Linked DNA regions of Alligator mississippiensis. The protein of the gene in region 2 interacts with the protein of the main gene of each other region in a pairwise test. Links are inferred from orthologs where the notes say so. Each region holds a gene or a part of one and is shown on either strand. Other genes may lie near its edges.

The links.
Region 1: the proteins of ACY3 (region 2) and PMM2 interact in binary tests that used the Homo sapiens proteins (3 or more experiments, as listed by UniProt). The two-hybrid records come from large-scale screens. The link is inferred for Alligator mississippiensis from reciprocal best matches to the Homo sapiens genes ACY3 and PMM2.

Annotation. Positions count from the first base shown.
Region 1 is NC_081836.1:35,934,251-35,941,802, reverse strand, and holds the start of PMM2 (phosphomannomutase 2), read right to left. Parts: upstream 3,266-7,552; 5' UTR 3,213-3,265; coding exon 3,150-3,212; intron 1,714-3,149; coding exon 1,602-1,713; intron 155-1,601; coding exon 78-154; intron 1-77. Other genes in the region: TMEM186 (transmembrane protein 186), read left to right, coding at 3,291-3,296, 3,373-3,960. UniProt on the Homo sapiens protein: Involved in the synthesis of the GDP-mannose and dolichol-phosphate-mannose required for a number of critical mannosyl transfer reactions.
Region 2 is NC_081825.1:176,370,386-176,378,725, forward strand, and holds the start of ACY3 (N-acyl-aromatic-L-amino acid amidohydrolase (carboxylate-forming)), read right to left. Parts: upstream 3,618-8,340; 5' UTR 3,510-3,617; intron 1,752-3,509; 5' UTR 1,744-1,751; coding exon 1,511-1,743; intron 1,015-1,510; coding exon 819-1,014; intron 713-818; coding exon 619-712; intron 1-618. UniProt on the Homo sapiens protein: Plays an important role in deacetylating mercapturic acids in kidney proximal tubules. Also acts on N-acetyl-aromatic amino acids.

The DNA.
Region 1 (7,552 bases), on a different chromosome or scaffold from region 2:
TCTTAAGAGTAGAATACTATTTGAAAATGTATCTAAAGACTACATTGTCTGACAGTTTATAGGAACTTCAAACATACCTGCTTGGACAACAGTTTCCCATCTTTGTATGCTACAAGACCATTTTCTGGGAAGACGTAGTCAAACTTTTCAACCACTGAAACAAACAAAAACTGTTGTAATTTATTTGTCTTCACTCAAACTTCCACGTTTTTGTTGTAAATACTTTTACATATCATACACCAGGGTATTTTTACAACATTAAGCATAAGTGATGCTAAAATAAGATCTATAGAACAAAAGATTAATTTCTACTATTGTATTTTTTAAACTTTACATATAATCTAGCAAATTGACACATTCATCAATAAAGTTATTTCAATAAAGTTATATTTGCTTTTGGTTTGATCTTAAACTGAATACCATAGTGCTAGGCCTCTAGCATATTAGTAAATCTTGTAGTTTAAATGAAGAAAAATGTGAAACGTTACATGCAGTGATGTGCTACATCATTTGCACCCACATTTTCAAAATCTCAGATTACAAATTCAAAATCCTTGATTACAACCATTCAGAATGAGAGTAAAGAAGTAATCAACTACTGTAGATAATATAAGAACTTGCTATAATGTAGGTTTAAATAGAAGCCACTTCTAAGCCAAGTAAATGCAGGGTTATAAAAAACAGTTGCTGCTTACACTGGGCCTATGGCTATTCATACAGTTCTTTCACATTAAAAATGAAAGTTTCCTACCAAGGGCTTGGAACAAGCTACCTTATGTGACCACTTGGCTAGTAAAATCATCTTTTCCATGGATAAACACATAGTTTAGCAACCTATATCAAAGGCAATATGCAAAACTGCATTAGAGAGAAACTAAAAATTAGTATTCTAACACAACGGCATAACAAGCCAAGTTGTCATACAAGGCAAACCCTGCAGGAATTGGGGAGAGGGGCAGGGAGACAGGCAAGGTAAGCATGGAGTTCTGGGGGTGGGGAGCACACAGATTAGCAAGTGGGGGCAAGGGGCATAGGTCCCAAGAGCCAGGGCAGGAGGTGCGCAGGTCCAAGAGCAGGGAGGCAAGGGAGCAGCAGCCTCACCAACACTGGAAATGTCTGAACAGTCCCAGCTGGGTTGCTGTTCTACACATGCTCTTCCTCCCCTGGCTCTCTTGCCCTTACAGCAACAGCAGTCAGGAACTGCCTCTGAGTTCCCAGTGTGGCAGTGCTGCCAGGCCATGGGCTCTGCAGGGATGCGAGGAGATTCTGGCACCCTAACTTGGCACGCAGGGCAAGCTAGTTATGCTACTGTTCTACATTACTAGTGTGAAGTCAGAACTTCACTGCATGTAGCAACCAAAGGGTATAAGACTGAATCTTCCTGTGTAAAGTACAAGTACTTGGGAGACTTTTAATTTAACCCACTGCGGGCAATACAGTTTTAAATCAAGCAATCATCACACACTGACTGTGAATAGTGAACACTTCATGAGATTTGCGTACTACAAGGAAGGAGGAAGAAAAAAGGTTTAATTTAAGGTGTCAGAACTTCCTCATACGCAACAAATTTATCAACCTGGACCATCTCATCTCTTCCTTACCATCGTCTCCCAGCTGCTCTTTAATTTTTTCAAAGTCTGAACCACCTACTACTCCAACTCTCACCTTCTGCCGCAACTTCTGCAGAAATTCTCCCATTTCTGCTGTGACTTTCTAGATTTCAAAAAAAGAAACAAAAGTTTATGATTAGTGGGTAGCCTACGCAGCTTTAGCATAATTGTATATCTGAACATAGCTATTGTGGTGCAGGAGGAGAAAGGTTGCTGTGAAGCAAAATATGTAGGGCTTTAGGGAGAAAAATGCCAAAAAAATGCTTTGAGTGAAAAATCAACAAGAAAGCTGGTGCAATATGTAGCTTACTTAACATAGCATGCTCCCTCTTATGAAGGCCTAAAAATTTAAACCTCTTGACCTTCTGAAATACCTTCAGGGGTAGCCCCCATACGCCCTGAGTTCACATCTGGAAGTCACAGAGGCAGAGAGAGGCATAGCAAGATCTGTATGAGGATAAACACACAATTTTTACTATGGAGAAAACTGACTTTACTCGGTAGCAAAGGATCCAGGACACACAAACTCACACTGGCTTAAGTTGAGCCTTGTATGAGGCACAGTGGTCATATCCACTTCCCTAACTCATTTCCTCTGCCATAGACAGCCATTTGCTTCATTCAAACCAGAATGGGGCACCACCTAGCAGCCAGGATCCATAACGTGCCTGTGGGCACCTAGCTTGGAAGGGTGTTCTTGTGCCTGCTCCCTTACCATGGAGTAGTTTATTACAGAAAAAGATCCAGGCCTAATTATTCATCCAGGTTTATTTATTTGCTGTGTTTCCACACTGTAACTCACTTCCAGTACTGGAAGAAAACAGCACCTGTGGAGATAACGGCTCTCTGAAACTCCAGCAGTAACTGGGAATTCAGAAGCACCCTTGAGCTGTAAGACTGAAGCGTGCCCAAAAAGGACAGTTTACTGTCACGGACCCGCACAGGATGATTTCCGTTTGCTGTCTTGATCTGGCTTCCTCGGCTCACCTGAACGCCAGCCAAGAAGGAAGCGCATCCAGACGGCACCAGCTTTATCTAGTTACCAAATGCACAGGTGGCGTCGCCCGCCTGCCCGCCGCCCCTTCACTATTTCTCCAAAGGAGCCACCAGCCTTAGCAGGAGGAGCGACACCCGAGGGAGTTTTGCTTTGGCGTCCCTCAGCGCGACGGAGCAGCGGCGGTTTCTTTTTAGAGCGACTGCAGAGCACGTTATGGAGCTGCCCCGGGGCCTGGCTCCCCCGCCGGAGCGGGCCCGCTCGCCGCTGAGGGCAGCGCTGCCCCGCGCACGCCGGCGGCCGAGCCCCAAGCAGCCCGACGCTCGTGTAGGCGGGCACGGCGCCCGGCACAGCCCGCCCTGCAGCGCCAGCGACAGGCACCCGGGAAACCGGCCGGACACCCGGCGAGGCCAGAGCGCTCGCGCTCGGGGCGAGGGCAGCCAGGCCGGGAGGGGAGAGGAAGAGCTCGGGGAGGAGAAGCGTCGCCTGCGGGGGCCCGGCCCGCCCCGCCGCGAAGGGCTGGGAAGAAGCCGCCCCGCACTCACCTGCCGGGGCGCCGTGAGGGTGCCGTCCACGTCGAAGAGGCAGAGGTTGCCCGGCGCCGCCATGGCTTGCGGTGAAGGAGCTGTCGTGGCCGGCGGCCGCTTCCGGCCCCGCCTCTTCCGCTCCCGGCTCCCGGCGGCGGCATGGCGGTGAGTGCGGGGCCGGGTGGGTAGGGCGGCGCGGCACTGAGGGGCTCATCTCGTCTGTCTGTCTCTCCCTCCCCAGGCCGTCGCCCTGCGCTGCGCCGTGGCCGTGGCCGGAGGGCGGGCGGGCTCGTGGCGGCTGCGCTGCGTGTGTAGCAGCGCCGCCCCCGGCAGCCCGCCGCCCGCGCCGCCCGCGGAGCGCTTCACGCTGGTCTACAGGTTCCCGGGGATCCGCTACTGCCGCGCGCTGTCCCGCCTGAAGCTGCTGCAGACCGGCCTGACCGTGCTGGCCCTGCCGCCGCTCGGCCTCCTGTACGCGCAGGGCCAGGCCTCGCTGCTGCAGCTGCAGGCGGCGGGGGGCATGGCCGCCCTGGCCTTCGTCGTGCTCTACGGCCTCAGCTACTACCTGCGGCGCCTCATCGGCCTCATTTACCTCAGCGAGACGGGCGGCGTGGTGCGGGTGGCGCACCTCACCTTCTGGGGCTGGAGGCACGACATCGACTGCCCCACCACCTCCGTCATGGCGCTGGGGGACACGGGGGACAGGCGCGGTGAGCTGCTGCTCCAGTTCAAGCGCTACGACAGCCCACAGGTGCTGTACTTCACGCTCAGGTTTGGGCAAGTTGTGGACAAGCAGAAGTTCAAAGAGATATTTGGGCAATTCCAGTGACCGCAAGGGCACCCGGTTTTCCAGCTGTCCCACCTGCATTGTACTTCTTTTTGGTCTGTCGCAGGTGTCCGGTTACATCAACTTGTTGAAATAGTTGCACCTCCTTCTTGTATTAAATACCCCTCCTGCCAAACGTGCTTCAATCTGTGTTTGTGTAGAGGGGGAGGCAGAAATTCAACAGCCCTGTGGAGGGAAGTAAAATCTTTCCCCTTCCCACCCGAAGCCTTTATGTAACACAAAAAAAGGAGTTTGGCAGTAAAGTGATCTCAGCTGGAGGCTCACGCAGGCTGCTGTTTTACTTCAGTGCTCAGTTGCAGGGACGCAGCTAGTGGCAGGGTTTCTTTTTTGGTTCTCAGAGCTCAGTGCCAACAGTTGCTGGACCCTTGGAGCCTGGTGCACAAGCCCTTCCCCTGATTAAACTGCAGCGTGTAGCATAATACAAATTAATATGACTTGTGAGGAGGTGGCAACTTGTAGTCTCTCTTGCGCTGTTAATTGAGTAATGCAATTTTTGCATTCACAGAAAAACATGATGGCTGGATTTAGTCCACTCATATAGGACTCCACAGGTGTAAATACAAGCAAACTGTGTGAGAGAAAGTTGCTTTAGGTAATGAAAACGGCAATTTGTTCCAGAGTGTTTTGAAAGATTTTGTGGGGCAAAGTGTGACAACATCCAGATATCAGGAAGTAGGAACAACATATGGGTAAGAGGATTTGGGCAAACTGAGTAGAAATGTATACAATTGGGTTGTTCCTTTATACTCCAGTTTTCCCTGCCACTGTGACTACTGGCTGTATAGCACAGTAGTCATCCTAACCTTCCCCAAAATATCTGCAGCCCTGAGCTAGAACCAGGCACATGGTTTGTCATTATGAAACGAGCCTAGCCCTCAATATAAGGCGGACTCTATACATTACACACCAACCAGGGACCTAGAGGGGAGAAAGCACTACAATATCCAGAAGGCTCAGGGCTCTGCTCTAGAGAGGTGTGTATTTGCTAACTCAAAATCAGTTATCTTAAAGCGATAGGACAGCAGGAAAGCCAAGATAGATTAGTCTATCAAGTGCTTGTACACAGCAAATTAAAATTCCAAGAAATAATTATCTTAAATCATAGGTGGAGTTGAATGCACTGTTATTTCTCTGAGGTACCTGAGGTTGGAAATGTGATAATCCATGAGAAACATGTTTGAAAAGTTGACATGTTCAAGTATCTGGAGTCAGTTGTTCAGAAAAAGGGGGAGTTAGAGAAAGAGTTCAACCATCGAATAACAGCAGGATGGATGAATTGGAAATGGATGACAGGAACATTATGTGACAGGAGAATATCTGTGAAGCTGAAGGGGAAAGCCTACAAGATGTGTACATCCAGCAGTATTGTAAGGAGCAGACACATGACTCCCAAAGAAAACTCAAGAAAGGAGACTGAACGTTACAAAGATTAGTGCTCCGATGGATGTGTGGAGTGACAAAGATGGATAAAGTAAGGAATACCTGCACCAGAAGATCAGTGAAGGTAGTGGAGGCATCTAAGGAAGTACAAGAAAGAAGACTGGCATGGTATGGACATTTTCAAAGGGAATTCGGAAGAATAAGAGGGGGAAAAGAAGTTACCAGAATGGGACTACAAGGGAGAAGAGGAAGACTGAAGATGATATGGAGAGAGAGAGTGGAGAGGACACGAGAAAAGAAGTTGGAAATGATGCATATGACCGAAGCCAGTGGAAAGCCAGGCTCCACAACAGCAACCTTGTTTAGACGGGACAAGCGAGGGGAGAAGAAGAATCATAATAATCCATGAGTGAAGTGGAAGGGGAAAGCCTGTAAGATGTGTACAAGTATTGTAAGGAGTGGAGACATGACTCCTAAAAAAAAACTCAAGAAAGGAGACTGAACATAACAAAGATGAGAATGCTCCAATGAATGCTCCCCTGCTAAACCAGATGGGACAATTGACAACAGACGCCCAGGAAAAAGCAAACTTACTAAATGGGTACTTTGCATTAGTTTTTCACCAGTCCCATGGGACGCCCCTGCCCACTGCGGGACAGAGAGGCCCGGGGTGAGGGAGATCCCTTACCCTCCATCAAAGCTGACCTCGCCAAGGAACACCTTGAGAGGCTGGATACCTTCAAGTCAGCCAGCCCTGACAGTTTACACCCCTATCCCGGGGAAGATCCTAGAAAAGATTATCGAAGAGGCCATTCTTAACCGACTGGCTGACGACAACATCCTGAGGGATAGCCAGCACGGGTTTGTTGCGGGTAGGTCTTGCTTGACCAGTCTCATTTCCTTCTACGACCAGGTGACCTATCACCTGGACAAGGGAAATGAGATTGATGTCATATATTTTGACTTTATAAAAGGCTTCGATCTGGTATCCCATGATCACCTCTTGGCAAAACTGGCTAACTTGGCCCCACCATGATCTGCTGGCTGGGGAATTGGCTCCACAGCAGGTCCCAGAGGGTGGTGGTTGATGGAAGTCGATCGCTGTGGTTCCCTGTGACCAGTGGGGTCCCTTCAAGGCTCTGTCCGAGGGCCTATATTGTTTAACATCTTCATTAATGACGTAGACATTGGTGTCAGAAGCGGACTGGCCAAGTTTGCCGCTGACACCAGACTCTGGGGTAAAGCATCCATGCCTGAGGACAGGAGGGTGATCCAGGCAGACCTTGACAGGCTCAGGAAATGGGCAGACAAGAACCTGATGGTGTTTAACACTGAAAAATGCAAGGTTCTCCACCTTGGGAGGAAAAACCTGCAGTATGCTTATAGGCTTGGCAGTGCTACGCTGGCCAAGGGACTTGGTGGTCATGATTGACCACAAGATGAACTTGAGCCTTCAATATGATGCTGCGGCTAAAAGTGAGCAAAACGCTGGCTTGCATCCATAGATGCTTTTCAAGCAAATCCCAGGATGCAAGTCTCCTGTTGTACTCTGCCTTGGTGAGGCCGCAGCTGGAGTACTACGTCCAGTTCTGGGCTCCACAATTCAAAAAGGATGTGGAGAAGCTTGAGAGAGTGCAGAGGAGAGCCATGTGCATGATCAGAGGTCAGAAAACAGACATGATGAGAGGCTGAGAGCCATGGGGCTCTTTAGCCTGGAAAAGTGCAGACTCGGGGAACCTGGTGGCCGCCTGTAAGTTTATCAGGGGTGCTCACCAGGCACCCCTGATAAACTTACTGATAACAGACCTGATAACAGACCTGGGGGAATGTCTGTTTACCAGAGCGCCCCAAGGGATGACGAGGTCAAATGGTTACAAACTCCTCCAAGACCGTTTCAGGCTGGACAGTAAACAAGTTCTTCCTTCTGTCCAAGCCCCCAAGGTTTGGAACAGACTGCCCCCAGAGGTGGTTCAAGCACCTACTTTGAATGCCTTCAAGAGAAGTTTGGATGTTTATCTTGCTGGGATCCTATGACCCCAGCTGACTTCCTGCCCCTGGGGCAGGGGGCTGGACTCGATGATCTTCCGAAGTCCTTCCAGCCCTAATGTCTATGAATCTATGAATCATAGGTGCAGTTTAGCTAAGGACCCTTCTGTTGCCAATAACAAGCTATAAAGCAACAGGAACAGGAAAT
Region 2 (8,340 bases):
GGTGGGGCCTGAAGCCCAAGCCCAGGCCACAGCCTCCAGAGACATGTGCCAAGCCCACAGATCAGCTCTGTGAGCTGCTATGGCACAGCTGCTAGGGGACAATGCTAGCCCCCTTTCCCACATGTACATACCATGGCACTGTGCCCCATGAAGATATCTCCTGGGCAGCGCATGCCCCTGTCACTTTGGGGGAGGGGCTGCAGTGGGGAGGGGGAATGGGTGGGCTGGGTGCATAGATGACAAGGAGGAGGGTGGGTGAATGGGTGCAGCAGAGATGAGATCTTGGAATCATGGGTAAAAGCAAGGGAGCTGGGCATGGGGGGCATGTGAGGTGAGAAGAGGTGGAATTTGGGGGCTGGGGAAAGGAGAGGGGGTAGGGCTTGGGTTCTGGCACATGGTGGGCTGGGCAGGGGTTGGGAGTTGGATAATTGGTGGCCTAAGGTTTCAGTGGTCGGGTGCTTGGGGAGTTTCTTGGGAGATGCTGGGCATAGGAGGCTGAGGAGATGGTGTGTATTTGGGAGGGGTCTGGCTCCCAGGCCCTGCTGCCCAGCCCCCCCAAATGCCCACCTTACAGGGCTAGACAGGTCCTGCCCATCCCCAGGTGGAGCTGCGCCCTACCTAGCCCATGCTTGGCCACTGAACTGATGGAGTAGGCCTCCTGGTCTGGCAGATTGTACAGGAGGATGGGGTAATGCCCCAGCGTGCAGTGGGTCTGGGGACAGGAGAGAGAGAAATCAGAGACAGCAGCTGTTAGGAGAGGGAGTCTTGGCCTGCCCTGGCAGGAGCGGGTACGGGGGCCCTGGGAAGGCTGGGCCCACCTGGATGAAGTGGCACAAGTGCATGGGCAGCAGGTTGTCCTGGACGCTGGCAATCAGGCAGGCCCCCACATTGGCTGTGGTGTTGTGCAGCTCGAACAGGAAGTCAAAGGCCTGGGCTGAGCCCTTGGGGCCGTAGAGCTGGTTGATCTCGCGGGCGCGCTGCACTTCATAGGGTTCATCCCATGCCGCCTTGGAGCTGGGACATGGGGACAGGGAGGGTCAAAGCCACACATGGGCCTGGGGACCCCCTTGCCTGGTGGGATGTCAGTGAGGAATCTCCTGGGGGCAGGGTCCCCTGGGAGAGTAGCATGACAGTGCACCCATCAGGGGCTCAGAGGCCCCATTTCATGGAGGGGATTTGGGGGTTTCCATCCATTTTGGGGAGCACTACAGGTTTGTGGAGAGCTTCCCAAACCCCTTAGGACTGCCTCAGTTTGATACATTCTGGAATAGTTTATATTATGTCCCAGGTAGTCCTGCAGAGCAGTGCATGCTGGGATAGCTCACTTATTCTCATGCTCCCCCAGCAGCACTGCAGGGTGGTGCATGCTGGGATAGCTTGCTCATTCTCATATTCCTGGTAGCATGCTGGGATATCTCCCTCCATCCCCAGGCCCCAGGTAACACTGCAGTGATGCATGCTGGGATAGCTCCCCCATCCCCATGCAGAGCTTTGCCCTGGGCTCACTTACTTGAGGAACTGCTTGGTGAAGGTGCGGTTCAGGTCCCTCCCCACGTAGCGCACGCACCGCTCGATGGCAAGTGGGTTGGCCAGGAAGGGTGTGGCTGAGAAGCTGTCCCGCTGCAGCGCTGAGGGCTCCCGTAGCCAGTGCTTGACCAGGTAAATGCCTGACATCTCATTGCCGTGGGTGCCTCCGCTCACAGCCACATGGCTCACGGGCTGAAGGCGCTGCAGGGCAGCCATGCATGCGGCTGCGGGGAAGAGAAGCAGGGGCAGGTGGACATCAGTGGGTGGGTCCACATGTGCATATTAGTGCAACACAATAAACTCTGGTGCTTATAGCTCTGGAGTTTATTGCTTCTGGGTGCCACTTGGGACTGCAGCACACTGAGCCCAGTTGGAGCAGCTCTGACTGGTAGGGGGCCTGGGAGGTTAGCCTGCCAGCCTGAGGCTGCTCTGACTCAGCTCAACATGCTGCAGAGGGGCTGGCTGGGGCACAAGGTGCTTCAGTGTGGGACTAGCCAGCAGGCATTCCCTGCATTGAAGCACCCTTGTGCCCCAGCCAGCTGAGTCAGGGTCTACATCTGTGTTGCTGCAGAGTAGAAAATGTGCATTGGTGCACATTATTAGGCTGGAGTAAAATATTAAACTCCACAGCAGGGTAGTACTAGTAAATGTAAGTACTACTGTGCTGTGGAGTTTAATATTTTACTCCAGCCTAAAACCCCAGCACATGTAGATGCTGAGACATTCACTGTGGAGCTAATTAGTCTACTCTACAGTAACTGTCTTATGTAGAAGTGCCCAGTGAGTTCACCATCCAGTTCACCCTGCCACATTCACTCCTTTGCCCATTCATTTCTGAAATGGCTGGGAGACTGCTCTGATGTCAGAGGGCCCCACACACCCTGCAGCTCACGGGGCTGGTGCAGTGGAGATACCTCCAATCCTGTATCTAGAGGGACACAAGGGAGGGCTTTGGCCAGTAGCAGACTCGCCTGCCTTTGCCCACCCACCCTGAATGAGCAGGTGCCCATGCACAGCTGGGTTGACTGGGGGCAGCCTCTGGCATGAGTACAGAGTAGGCCTTGAATGCCTGCCTTAGGACCCATAGTAAGACCCTAGCATGCCTCTGCCACCACACCCCAAAAGAAGATACTATAGATAGACAAGTCAGATGGCCAGGGACTTCCTCAACATAGGATTCACAGCCCAGCACCTTCACAGAGGGGCAGGAGGGTAGGACGAGCTTGCTTTCCTGATCTCACTCTTCCTTCACTTGCCCCTGAGATCACGGGCTGGAGGGGTAGCACATCCCCTTGCTCATCTCTGTAGGGAAGGTGTTGTTGGTGAAAGGCTTGGGAGGCTGCTTTGTCCTCTGAACACTTTTCAGACTCAGGAGGTGTATCAGTCCTGCAACATACCCTAGGCACGTAGGGACACTAACAATTTACCATGGGTTAAATGGGCTATACAGGGATTGCAAAAGACAGGGAAGAATGGAGGAAAGTTATTGCTACATCAAAGATGCCCCAACGGTTGGTGCGGCTTCGGGACTCATTGAAACGGGGTGAGGATTCACCACACATATCAGCTGCCCTGTGGCTACTGCCTATTTGTACACTCTTACACTGGATTCAATGGGAGCAGATGCCTGATAACTCACCCTCTTTCGCTGAGGATGAAGCTGGTACAGTTTAGCTTCCTATTACCTGGGCCATCTGAGACTGGGTTGTTCCCCTCCAGCCATCCTCTCTCCACCCTACCTAGTGCACTCTTGAGCAAATAGACGCAGAGATCTTCTCCCCCATGCGGATAAAGCAGCATAGTGATCCCAGCCTCCCTCCCCACCTGTTTAGCAGGAGCAGTGAGAAGTTGGATGGTGCAGGAGAGCAGGCCACGTCCCAGGGGATGGAGGAGTGAGGGGTTGCAACCTTCCTCATCCTCCTAGGGGCATCTGGGAGGAAGGTCAGCATCATTTCAGGCCTTTGCTGGGGAACCCCTCTTACCTTCCTGCTAAGGGAATAGGAAGAGGCTTGCAGAGGTCCAGGCAGGAGCAGAGGCCAAGGGCGTATGAAGTGGAGTGTACTGACGGTGCATGGGAAGTTGAGAGGGAGGAGTTGAGAACGAACCTTGTACAGACAGGTCTGGTGACTGCACTGTCACGTGGTTGCACACAACTCTCCTTCCCTCCCTGCTGCCCCTGGCCCCTGAGTCCTGGGGGAAAGTTCAGCAGAACAGCCCAACTCTATCGGCCCCATAGCTCAGCCTGCTCCAGTCATGCTGGAATCCTGAGAAGGAAGGAGAGACCTGGCGTGATGAGATGGCTCAGGGCACAAGACGAGCTTGCCCCTAGTGGGCCCATCTGTATGAGCTGAGCAGGGAACTGGGACATGGTCTTGATGCTTCCCATCACTGTTCCTCCTCCTCCTGGGGAGATCTCCTGCCCCTGTGACAGAGGGCCAGACTCTTCCTACCCAGCCTTAGTAGTACTTGGGGGCAGGACATCCCTGGATCGGTTGTGCGCTGCAAAGCTGCTTCTTCCCCTCAGCAAGCTGGTGTTTTCAGGGCACCCCCTTCACCTTGTTAGGGGGAAAAAGGAGGTATGGCTGAGGCAGGCAGAGAAGGACCCAGCCCTGCCTACCCCTCAGGCATGCAGATAAAGTGCTAGGTTGGCTGGATGGCTGGCTGACAGAGGCTACTGATTAAGTTCTCTGGCTCTAATCATAACACCCACCCTACCAGGCCCCAGCTGTGAGAAGTGCCTGAAGATCAGAAGCACAAAGTGAGACTGTGTTTAATTTTTAACTCTTGACCCTTGGGATATGAGTGAGTGTTTCCCCAGGGCTGGCAGTGACCTGTGTGATTGGGGGGGGGGGGTGGGGGGGGGGGGGGGGGGGGGGGGGCAATCTTCAGGCCCCTCCTGACTCTCTCAGACACTGGTCTTGAGTAGAGAAAGTATGTTGCTCAAGGCAGGAGATTCAGAGATTTTAGCAGAGCTTACTAGAGGTGCAGCTTGTATCCATGCAGATGTGCATCCAAGGAGCTTAAGTCCAATGCTTCCAACCATAGGCGATGCACCAGGGGTGGCACATGCCCCCCCCAGAAAGCACTGGTGCCCCCCCCTGACAGAGAGCGCTCTGGCTGGTAGGGGGACACTGAAAGTGCCAGTGCCCACCCTGAAATTGGGTCCAACGGTGGGACGTCAGTGGCGGAAGTCACTGTCGCCATGCCACATGTAGAAGTGATGGCACTTTTGCGCTTAGCAACTGGCTGCTTCCCCCCCACCACCCCCGCCCCCTGTCGTGCCCCACTGGTGCCCCCCCAGACTCAGGAGGCACCAGTCGCCCATGCTTCCAACACTCAGCTGCCCTGGTAGAGGAGCTCTCACTCTTGTTGGTCTGGCTTCCTGGCAGAGCAGCTCACCCCAGGGCTGTATTACTTTTCCCCCGTTCCAGGGGGGAGCCACTGGAGCAGGGATGTGCTGTTTTTTGCCCCAAACTTTGAGTTCCATCCATCCCTCCCCCTCCTGGATTTGCTGGGACCCTTCCCACCCCAAGCAAGAGATGAGTCTGTCACCAAAGTCCAATACCATTTAGTCTTTAGAGGGACAAGTCTACAGCCTTGTCTGTGGTCAGGACTCTTTTGCAAGCTACACACGTATTAAGGAACAATTACAAGTTTTAGCGATTATAATTTTTTTGCGAAAGAGGACTTCCTCTCTCTCACTCTCTCTCACCACCTGGGAAATCTGTTTGCCCATGTTTCCTGTTTCTTTTACTTTGGCTGACGAGGCGCAGTTGTAATGTCTCGCAAAGGTCTACTCTGAAACAGGCATTGTGGCCTGCTCCAGCCACATTTCAGTAACTTAGCATAAAGTCTCTTGAAGGTGGCCAAGGCTGACAACAGGTGAACAAAGTCACATTATTATATCAGAAGGATTCTAGCTGACTATGTACAAATCAGTTGTTATAAAATGGCAAAACATTGGTTGTTACTTTTAGTGGCTGTTTCATGCTTTTTCCAAAAAGCTGTTACATGTTCTTGGCTTTAATATTAGTGGCTTGATAAATAGACTTTTACTCTACTTTCCAGGCCACTGCTTGTGATTTAAATGCAAGTTTATTAAGCAGCAGCATTTAAATATACCAGCATTAAGCACCTATTATTCATAGCTCAGGCTTTTTCTAAGTCCATAGTGAGTGCATCTACATGTGTATATTAATACAGGATTGGGCCTAGGAACACTGCACCATCCCCATCCAGCCCCAGGCCACCCCCAGGCCCCAATCTAGTGCTCAGGACCATGCTATCCTTATACAGGGCTCCCCATGGGCCCAGACATTTGGCAGCAAGAGAGAGGCAACTGCTCCCCCACTGCCAACTCTTTGGACTCATAGGGAGCCCCGCAGGCTGGATGACATGACTTTGGCAGCCAGATCTGGCCCTGCAGGGTGGGGTGAGTACCCCTGGACTAACTGGTTTAAAGACACAAGAGCTCTTGTACGTCATAACTTTGCCTGATGCCTGCTTGTCCAACCCTAGTTATGCTACTGTGTCAAACAGTCTGAGCCTGGGAGCTTTCCTAGTGGCTGGGACAGGCAGTATCTGTGTGACACCCGCCCCTTTTGCAGCCCTCAGCAGAGGAATCAAAGGGCACACACCATCTACCTCAGTGCCCCCCACCCCCAATGAAAAACCATGGGCTGATGTTTGCTGGGATTTCTAGTACAGGCACTGACACAAAGAGTTGGTCCTGGCTCCTCACCTTCAGGGCATGGCCACTGGTAGGGTGTGAGTCCAGCCCTAGGCCCTCAAGGCAGTGGAGGGTTGTAAGCAGGCAGACCTCTGGGGAAGTGTTGGGTAGATAGAGCAAGTGACACTTGATTGACCCCTTGCAGACAGAGGTGAAGGCAGTGAGCAAAGCTGAGAGGAGGAGAAGGAGGAAGAAGCATCACTGAGAAGAGCTGTGGGAGGCTCTGGCCAGGAGGAGAACAGGACCAGCCTAGTCTGATGGCTCCCCACAAGGTACTCCAGGAGTGTGACACTCACTACAGGTTGAAGAGGGACAAACCTTGACATGGAGAAAGCATGAAACACATAAAACTGGTTGCATGTTGAAGGTGTTGCCTTCATGTGAATGGCTAGATGCCCATGTAGGTCTGAAGCCCACTGCTGGAACAAACTGTTTGTTCTCCATCCTTTCCACTCAAAAGTAGAAGAGGGTGATGCGGAAACCAGACCAGGAGACAGCAATGAGGACAGCAGCAGCAGATTCTCTAGCAAGAGTGACAGTGACAGAGAATGAACTGAGATTTTAAACCCTGTAACCAGAGTGTGGACTAAGGGACCGTATAATCAGGTTTGTGTGGCCTGCTGGTGGGTGTATGGGAGTGCAGATCCATGGCTGCATGTATTGTAATGGGTTTATGGCTTTTGTTTTGTGAGTTAAGGTATATGAAGAAAAGGTTGCTAGAAGGTGTATATATATATAACTTCTATATATATATATAACTTCTGTGTGTGTGTGTGTGTGTGTGTGTGTGTGTGAGAGAGAGAGAGAGAGAGAGAGAGAGAGAGAGAGAGAGTATATATCTATACACATACACACATATTTTTACAAAAAAAAAGATTCTTAGGCACTTTGGTGGCTTGATCCTCTGTATCTCTCACTCAAACAGTTATGGGACTGAGCGCCAGTGCAAAGCACTTTAAGTACAGTTGGCTGATTGCCCAAGGGGCCAGGCTACTCTGTGCTGTAATGGATAGTGTATTGACCTTTTAGTGAGCAGAAGGTATTGGAATTTGTAAAAATTTAAAAGAGTTAATATTTTTAACTCCTCACCAGCAGCTTATACCTGACTGTGAGGCACCTGGAGCAGACAGTGCTGGAGACAGGACGTTGGACTATTGGCTGCTACGTGGGACAGGACATAGGTGGAACTTGAGCTTCCAACCAGAGTGTTGTTCAAAGCCACATAAAACCAAGCCTATTAGACCTGGAGTTCAAAGCTTTCACCAGGAGGCATACACCCAATGGAAGGGAGGGGCCATCACCAAGGAGGACTATACCTCCACTGCTCAATCCTGTAGGGAGGCTGTTAGGAAGGATAAGGTGGAGACGGAACTGGGACTAGAGACCTGGATCAAGGATAACAAGAAGTCCTTTTTTAAGCCTGACCTCTATCTTGGGCAAGGTCTTAGAAAAGATTATTAAAGAGGCCATTCTTAACGGACTGGCTGACAGCAACATCTTGAGGGATAGCCAGCATGGGTCTACTGTGGGTAGGTCTTGCTTGACCAATCTTATTTCCTTTTACGACCAGGTGACCTACCTATCACCTGGACAAGGGAGAGGAGATTAATGTCATATATCTTGACTTAAAAAAAGTCTTTGATCTGGTATCCCATGATCATGTCTTGGCAGGACTGGCCAACTGTGGCCTCGGGTCCACCACGATCCACTGGCTGGGGATTTGGCTCCGTGGTTGGACTCAGAGGGTGGTGGTTGATGGAAGTCAATCGTCATGGTGCCCTGTGACCAGTGGGGTCCCCCAGGGCTCTGTCCTTGGACCTGTATTGTTGAACATCTTTGTTAATGATGTGGACATTGGAGTCAGATGCGGGCTGGCCAAGTTTGCCGATGACACCAAACTCTGGGGTAAAGCATCCACACCTGAGGACAGGAGGGCAATCCAGGCTGACCTTGACAGGCTCAGGAAATGGGCGCATGAGAACCTGATGGTATTTAACACTGAAAAATGCAAGGTTCTCCACCTTGGGAAGAAAAACCTGTAGCATGCTTATAAGCTCGGCAGTGGTACGCTGGCTAGCACTATG